Linked DNA regions of Rattus norvegicus. The protein of the gene in region 1 purifies or fractionates together with the protein of each later gene. This does not show direct contact. Links are inferred from orthologs where the notes say so. Each region holds a gene or a part of one and is shown on either strand. Other genes may lie near its edges.

What was found.
Region 2: the proteins of Ubr2 (region 1) and Ube2b purify together in Homo sapiens (affinity purification with western blotting; 3 studies listed by BioGRID, with this or other methods). This does not show direct contact. The link is inferred for Rattus norvegicus from reciprocal best matches to the Homo sapiens genes UBR2 and UBE2B.

What each region holds. Positions count from the first base shown.
Region 1 is NC_086027.1:21,478,644-21,482,916, reverse strand, and holds the start of Ubr2 (E3 ubiquitin-protein ligase UBR2), read right to left. Parts: upstream 2,801-4,273; 5' UTR 2,499-2,800; coding exon 2,421-2,498; intron 1-2,420. UniProt on the Homo sapiens protein: E3 ubiquitin-protein ligase which is a component of the N-end rule pathway.
Region 2 is NC_086028.1:36,761,144-36,765,291, reverse strand, and holds the start of Ube2b (ubiquitin-conjugating enzyme E2 B), read left to right. Parts: upstream 1-1,348; 5' UTR 1,349-1,424; coding exon of another isoform or gene 1,425-1,449; coding exon 1,450-1,493; exon of another isoform or gene 1,494-3,677; coding exon 3,678-3,758; exon of another isoform or gene 3,759-4,148. UniProt on the Homo sapiens protein: E2 ubiquitin-conjugating enzyme that accepts ubiquitin from the ubiquitin-activating enzyme E1 and transfers it to a E3 ubiquitin-protein ligase. In vitro catalyzes 'Lys-11'-, as well as 'Lys-48'- and 'Lys-63'-linked polyubiquitination.

The DNA.
Region 1 (4,273 bases):
TAGCCTGGGACACACAGAAAGCCAAATGACACAAAAGGCATCGCTACTTACTAAGTCAAAATGGAATTACTTGGTCTTAGAAAATTATCTATTTTCTAAATTGGTCTAAATTCTGCAATAAATACGTTTTCTACAACATCTTTTCTAAAATTTACTTTTTGAAAATAAGATTTTTTTTTTTTTTAAAATAGCCCTGGCTGGCCTGGAACTCCACGTAGAACAGGCTAGCCTCAAACTGACATGCGCCTACCTCTACCTGAGCAGCAATGGAATTAAAAGTATGAACCACCACACCTGACTAAAATTTTCAGTTGTGGTCAAGGGTCAGGCTGGGGCCTAAGCGGAAAGAACAATGTTAAGAGTTTGGCATCCTTGGGGTTGGGGATTTAGCTCAGCGGTAGAGCGCTTGCCTAAGAAGCGCAAGGCCCTGGGTTCGATCCCCAGCTCCGAAAAAAAAAAAAAAAAAAAAAAAAAAAAAAAAAAAAAAGAACCAAAGAGTTTGGCATCCTGACTAAATGCACCCAGTAGACTCCTCCAGACATAACAGCATCGATCCTAGTGTGCACCTGCCCTATTTGAAGGCCTTCAGACTACATCTCCTCAAGTTTAATTTCATAAATCTATATAGAACAGCGCTTAAAAGTAAAGAGAGCTCAGATGGTGATCTCCTCAAACTCAGAGTCAGCACAAGTTAACGGAAGTTCTGCTTGGGCCTGGAGAGACCACTCTCAAAGCAGCATCCATGCTAGCGTCTGTCACTGCAGTTCCAGGGGACCTGGAATATGTACATACCCCGACACAGACATACACAAATACACATAATTATAAATTAAAAAAAATAAATAAAGGTTTTGTTGCATTTCCCTTATTTTCCCCCATTCCATATGCTTGAAATTTTCAGCGAGCTGGGAGTAACAGCCTCCGGCGCTGGGCTTCCTCAGGATCAAACCGAAGATACCTCACCACTGTCAGAATGGGGGTAACACAGCTGCTGTCACCATCAGCAACTGATGCAACAAGCTAAGGGGTCAGGAGGAAAACAAAATCCCCCTGCCTCCGACACGAGCAGATTTGACAGTTAGAATAAGATAGCAAGTCACTTAGTCTTATTTTCCTGTTTTCTTATAACAGGGCTTTTTTTTATCTCTTCCAGATGTCTTTCATAAGTCAAAGGCAGATGGGGGGTAAAATCCTTCTGAGTACAGGAAAACAGACTGCACGCCTACCTTACTTAGCCTTACCAAAAAAATTTCAAAACTTAAATTCATCAGGCAACAATGTATTTTTTTAAAAAAATTACCCCCACACCCCTCCCCTTCACTTCCACCTACACTTATCTAAGTCTCATCAGCTCACTCCAAAGATTCGTCACCAGCTGCACATCCCAACTTACTGACCCTAACATCCCGTGTGACGATGTGTTGAACAGTCACCCATTTCCTGGGAGCTTTTTCAGCTGGAGGCCTCTGAGTCTAGGCTCCAATTGTCTGAGCTATTTCCAGTCGCTGTGGACAATCCGTTCTGATAGGTGTCCCCTGCCCTCACTGGCAAAAGACTGACACTGAGTTTGTTGAAGTTGTTGTCTTCGTAACTTTGCTACTTGTATCAGCGCTGTTCATAATACATTTTAAGTCCTTTCTATGTTCTGAAGGGCTTAGGTTGAGGGCCTAAGGGCTCCTGATAGGCTGGGATCAACGCTATCATCCCTAATGAGTTTGCATCTGTTATCCAAAGCTGCTTTCTCAAAGTTATATAATGTTTGTTCTTCGTCCAACTTTTCCCAACTCCTAGAAAAATTGGGTAGTTTAAAAAAAAAAAAATCTCCCACCCTCCATGTCGAGACACCACTAGTACACACAGGCAACCAACGTTGCCATCTAACGAGATAAACAAGTGCAAAACAACTTTTTTAAAAAAAGCACGGAGGGAGGAATGTCGGACTGTGCTGTTTGCAGCCTGGGTACCCTCCAACCCCCTTCCCCAGCAGTCCCAGCAACAAAGTTGGAGCTGGGTGAGGGTAGAAAGCTTCGGCGCGGACACTGCTCCGCTTATCCCAAGAAAAGGAATCAGAAGATAAGTAGGGCGCTTATACCACAACGTTAGGAAGAGGCTTGCTTCCTCCCATCTTCCAGCAGCTAGCATATAGGGCAAAGGCCCAAGTGTTGTCGACTTAATGGAGGGTGAAAGGTAATTAGGGATAATGAAAGCACTGTAGTAGAGTCGCCGGGTATAAGGAGGATCTGAGTACCGAAGGCGCAGAGCAGGCTCGATGGCCTCCTGGGTCCTTTCCCCACAGGACATGGCCAGCGCGGCTGTTACCCGAAGTCAGTGGCGGGCTCCCGGATTTCCAGGACTCTGTTCCTCCCCTGGGGCGCGGCCTGCGAGGGCCGGACGTACTCCTCCCGGGCTCCCGCACTCACCCCTGCGATCTCCTCGGCAGAACATTCCAGCAAACTGCGGTCGATGGCCTGCACCTCGGGCTCCATCTCCGACGCCATCTTCTCACCTCCTCCTCTCCCCGGGTGCTCTCGCCGCTGTCGCCTCTTCCCGGGCCTCAGCTTCGCCTCTGCTCCCGCAGCCGCGACGGTCACCCCTGTCCCGGGGCCGTCAGTCCCGGGCCGTCCCGGCGGCCGCGAGCCGAGCTGCGCAAGGAGCAAAGCGGGACGCGAACCTGCAGCGGGGACGGCAGCCGCTTGCGCGCGCGCCCGGGCTCGGCGCCCAGAAGTCAAGTCGCCTCCTCGCCCGTGACCCGGGGAAGGACACCGAGAACCCTAGGCCTGGCACTCCGGATGGCCACTACCGCGTTCAACGCCAAGAGAGGGGCAAAAACACCCAAGCGGGAGAGCAGAGCATTCTGGGAACTGTAGTCGTCCCCTGCGCGGCCAGGGAGAGAAGCGAAGCCTCTATTAAGGAGCGGCGCACGAGTATCATGGGAGTTGTAGTCCATCCCCCTGGCGGAAGCCTGGAAAAAGACAATTTAGAATCCGTGAGGTGGGCTCGACCACGGAAGAGCGAAATAACGTTTGAGCTCTCGTTTTAGTCTCTTAGTCCCATTTATTCTTGTCATTTTTTGATCTCCCCAGCACCAAGAACAAACGTTCCAGGCGCGATATCCACTCAGCTGTCTGTCAAAAGTCTGGTATCTCAATTGTCAAAAGAATGAATGAATCGCGCGTTCTATTCCGGAGGTTCTAATGCCTTGTCATCCTGGCACTAGTCACCGAGGTGTATTTAGTACCGAGATTTTGAAAGGTTTTAAGGCACATTTGCAAGAAATTTAGTTTATGACCATTTGACTGATATATATATTTTCTTTTTTAAGTCTTGCTGCAACAGAAAAGGAGTCTAACAAGTCAACTTAAAGATCGACTCTCAGAGTAAAACAACCCTGAAAGCGCGCGCTTACTTCCGCGTCCTGCCTGCCTGCGTCCTGCGGCTGCGCGGAGGGAGAGCCCGGGCGAGAGCTGCGACTGCCATTGTTTTTGCCGTTTCTCAAAAGGTCAAGGAAAAAAATTTTTTAGGGTTCAATGGCAGGCCACAAAGCAGCAGCAGAAATACTGGATATTTCAGCTGCGTTGCTTTAAAACTAGACTGACAGAAGCAGATCTAAAAGTAGATCGATCGGAGGTTTACATATACTGACTGTAATTTGTGACATGCATTTAAATACCTTTTAAATTGTCTTCGTGGAGAAGTTTAGGCTCTCACAGATGACCAGACAAACCCTAGTTGCCCTGTAGGAAGAGGCTGATATTTTGTACTGGTGTTGTTAGGGTGAGATCTTGGAGCCAGCAGCTCTAACAAGCTAGGCTCAAGCATGTATCCTCGATATGGCAATTAAAAAGATACGCAATAACGAAGAGGTAGAGAAAGGAGGCTTATTCGATGTAGCCACATCGGGAAGAGGGACAAAAAGGTCCAATGACCCCCTGCCCACTCCCGAGTTCACCACCTTCAGAGTCCTGACATGAAGTGTTGCCTGTGCCCTGGACAGCTCTCTGCCTGACCCTACCTGCCCGTGGGGCTTGGCAGTGAGTTGGCAAAGAGTCAACAACACAGACTCCAGGAGCAGGTGAGAAATGCAGCAAGCTCATCAGAGCACCGCTACAAGCTCCTTTAATATCCTCCACCCACGCCTCCATTGGTCCCAAGAAAGCATCTCTTCTAAGCAGCAGTTCCTGATTGGCTGGCATTGTTCGCACCAGCAATACTTGCTCCTCAGGCAGTCCTCAATTAGGTCTTCTTGCAGGAGATGCCTTTGCAGCGGCACAGC
Region 2 (4,148 bases), on another chromosome or scaffold:
GTTTCAAGGAACTATGTATATAGGAAGGAGTGGAGCAGTAGATTCTCATGCTCTTTTCCCTTCTAGAGCTAAAGAATTCCGCATCTACTCCACCGTTCGGGTCCCTAGAACTAACATCAGTGCTAGAAGCTGAGATTGGGAATTCCAGGAGCTTGCGGGGCGGTGTGTGTGTGTGTGTGTGTGTGTGTGTGTGTGTGTGTGTGTGAAGGCTACTGAACCTGCTGAGAATCACCCCACACACACACACACACAGAGCACTTCCGGTCCGTTTGGCCCCTCTTTGCTATTGTACAAAGCTTGTACTAAGTTACCTCAGACTCGAGATATAACTCCCACCCATGTCTGCATGATCTCTCCCCCGATCTGAATCATTTTGGTAGGTTTCTTTGACAACCAGCAGCCCATTGATATGCCCTAAAAATCACACCCACTCGTTTCTTGAGAAATACAATTGTTCCCCACCGCAGGCAAAATCACAGATTCCAATTCTAAGACTCCATAGATGGAGTCTTTAAGGCTTGGACAATCTATTCCACTCTCATTTCTGTATAGACTTTAAGTATGGAAATCCCATACAGGCTATAATTGATCCAAATGCCCTTAATCCCATCTGATTTGCACGGACCATAGTATTCAAAGCTGTTCATTACAAGGCTTTGCCACACTTTCAGTACCTGTCCCACGTGCCAGAGTTGCTAAGCCACTTGAAACAGAATTAAGTCCAGATTTTTTTGTTCCGTTTTAAAGACTCAGAACGCCAAGTGGCTTCTTCCACAATGTCTCCTTATGCAAAGTCCCAGTACTTGGGACCAAAAGAATAATGTATGACTAGAGGTGTCAACTCCTTAAACTCAAGGACCTGCTTTGTGAGACCTGAAACCAAGAGCCAGGCTAGGCCGTCACGTGACTTGTTCTGATGGCGTCACAGGCACACGTGGTTCTAGATACTTCGCTCCCTCCCCCTCAGGGGTGGATTGTTGACAACGCCGCTAGCGGTCACGTGACCTGACGTCATCCCACCTCCTCTCCCCGAAATCTCAGGCTCCGGATGCACCTCTCTCCCCGTCCGGCCGAACTTGAAACTAGCGACGGGGGGAGCGAGGCAAGGTAGCGTGTGGGCTCCGGCGCGGTCGGGCCGGCCCGTGTCCAGCCTGGGCACGGAGAGGACCTTCCATAGTTCCTCACAGCCAAGAAGCCCCGAAGACGGCCTCCTGCGCCTCCAGGGTCGCGCGCGCGCCCGCTCGCCCCGCCCCCTCTCCCCTCCTCCCAGCGGTGGTACTGGCGGAGGGCGGAGGGATCTGGAGGCGGCGGAGGGAGACGTCATTGCAGGGTTGTTTGTGCAGTCTCGGTGGCGGCGGCGACCCACAGTGATTCGGCCGCTGCGCCGGGGGGTGGGGGGGCCGAACGGGACTCTTTTCTTTCAGACTGACCGCGGGGCAGCTGCGGAGCATGTCGACCCCGGCCCGTAGGAGGCTCATGCGGGATTTCAAGCGGTAAGGGCCCTCGTCTTAGCCCAATATGACGGCCTCTTCCCGAAGCTATGGACTGTAGGGCGGGGATCCGGGATATCCTCCCCCGGTGACCCTGAGGAGGGGGGCAGTGGGCCTGCGGGACCCACGGCAGCCCCGGCTCACCGGCGACTCTTACTCCCTCGCTTCATACCTCCCTCTGTTTGAGTAAAGATGTTCGGTATTATAGCCACCTGCCCTCCCCCCCCCCCCAAAAGTAGGAAGGTAGCCATCGCTGGGCCTAGGTGTCCCAGAGGCCCACCTAGGCCAAATGCAGACGCTTCACCTCCCGCCTCTGCACCCTGCGGTGTCCCCTCCGCAGGTGGTGCTAGGGAGCTTTTCCTGAGGTTCTGGCCTCGCCTGGAGGACCAGTCCAGCTTTGTTACAGGGCCCCGTGGTCTCCTATTTGTAGCGGGGTTGGGGTGAATACTGTCCCAAATCTCTTTCCCTTTCTGCAGTGGTGAGGGTGGGGTCTGCTGCGCGAGGTCCGGAGGTGGTTAGCCCATCCCCCGAAACCCGATCTGCCCCCGCCCACCTGGAAGGACCTTGAGAACTGGCTCGGGAAACCTGGACCTGGAGCTAGCCACTCCGCTGCCAGTGCCTTCTGGAACTAAGATCTGGCTGCCGAATAAAGGCCTATCTATAGCCTCCCCGGCCTGGGAAATGCCTTCCGTCACACTGGAGCTAATCTGATACTCCACCTGGGCCTCCTTTTGGAAAATAGGAGTTTATAGGAAATAAGGGGCTTGAAGGAAGAAAATGACCTCTCCTTCCTCTTCCAGTTGTTTACCTCTCCTTGGAAACGTACAAGTGCAGCAACCGTAACTTGAAATCCAGCGACAAGATACTCCTCTAAGTTTTCTTTCTGGGCAGACCCGCTGTGATTGAGACAGATCTGTACTATAAAAACTTAGATTTGCCTCTCAGGAAGCAACTGCTCGACTTTGCCTTTATAAAGCCCTGTCTGGGGCATTTGGAGGTCTTGGGCCTTGGACAGCTTCATTTAATTCGTTGCTGATTTTAGCCACTTAAAATTGAGGAATCAGGCAGTAAGTTCGTTCCTCTCAGCCCTGTTAGTGGCATAATCTGCTTGAGGTTTTTTGTTTGTTTGTTTGTTTGTTTGTTTTTTAATGTGGACTGATCGCTAAGTGTCCACTTAAAAATCATGACATACTTTGTATGGTGGAAGGCTTTTTTTTTTTTTTTTTTATGATCTGACAGATGAGATGCCCTTGTTGGTGCAAAAGGCTTGAAGTCACTATATTTGATTGGCTCTGTAGCATGCAAATAAACCTTGCCATTATGGCTAATACATCATCCATTATTATCTCTTGTTCATTTTTGCAATTTCTGTACCCGATTGAGTACAAGGTGCCTTTGGTGGTTTTCCAAGGATCTTGAGGTTACATGAAATTGATGATGACGTCTGTTGAAAGTGCTGTATGAAACTTTGTATGAAGGCCTAAGGTAGAGTTGGCCTGAGAGCAGTGTCTTTAAAAGAGAGACTGCTGGAAAGCTAGCTGGAGCTTCTGGCTACTTGAGAAAGCCACTGTCTGAAGCACAGACCATAAAGTGTGGTTCGCTTTCTAGTTAAACTGAATATGCTTTTCAGTTATTTAGTGTATGGAGATTTCCTACGATTTTGTGTTAGGACTGGAGATCCTTGCATGATGAAGGTAGAAAAACTGTAGGCTTTTGTGTGGTTTGGTTTTGGTTTTTGGTGTTTGGTTTTGGTTTTTTGAGACAGGGTTTTTCTGTGTAGCCCTGACTGTTTTGGAATTCATTCTGTAGACCAGGCTGCCTCCAAAGTGCTGGGTCTAAAGGCATGCACACCACTACCACCTGGTAGTTGCAGATTCTCTAAAATATTTTTCATTGCTAAAATTGTAAACTTGTAATGGGTCAAGAGGGCAGTCTGGAAACAAGAGTTCTTCAAGAGATCATATCTTAAATCTTGCTGTGTGAAGAAGGATGACCACCTAGTCCTTTGGGCTTAGAGATCACTGGTAGTATTAGTAAGTATATTAACCTGGTTGATTCTTTTAAGTCATAGCTCATTTCAGCTCCAACAATAAGTCAGTCTAGTCAGTCTCTCAGAATAGGTTCAGTAGAATTTGACCTCACTGACCTTTATGTTCAACTCTGAAAATGACTACTCTGGATTTCTAGATTGCAAGAGGACCCACCTGTGGGGGTCAGTGGTGCACCATCTGAAAACAACATCATGCAGTGGAACGCAGTTATATTTGGGTGAGTTGAAATAGCGACTGCTTAGGAAAAGTAAGTATATAAGCACCAAGGAAAGAGGCTGAGGTGGATCCGAAGCTCACTTGTTGGGGTAGGGGGCACTTTTTTGAGAACCATAGGCCTCCTGTGCTTATTGTGCTCCTATCACTAAGCTGTATACCCAGCTCCTGAAACATTTTATTGAGTCTGGGACATTTATATAAAATTGGTCTGCTCCTTGCTGTTAAGTTTAATTTGGTTTCTTTCCCTTGAGACAAGGTGTTACAGTGTTGATCGGGGTGATTTTGAACTGGGCTGCAGTGATCCTCTTGCTTTAGGCCCTCAGGAGTAGCTGGGATTGTGGGAGTTTGATACTGTACCTAGCTATGGTATGGTTTTACGGTCACTCCAGGT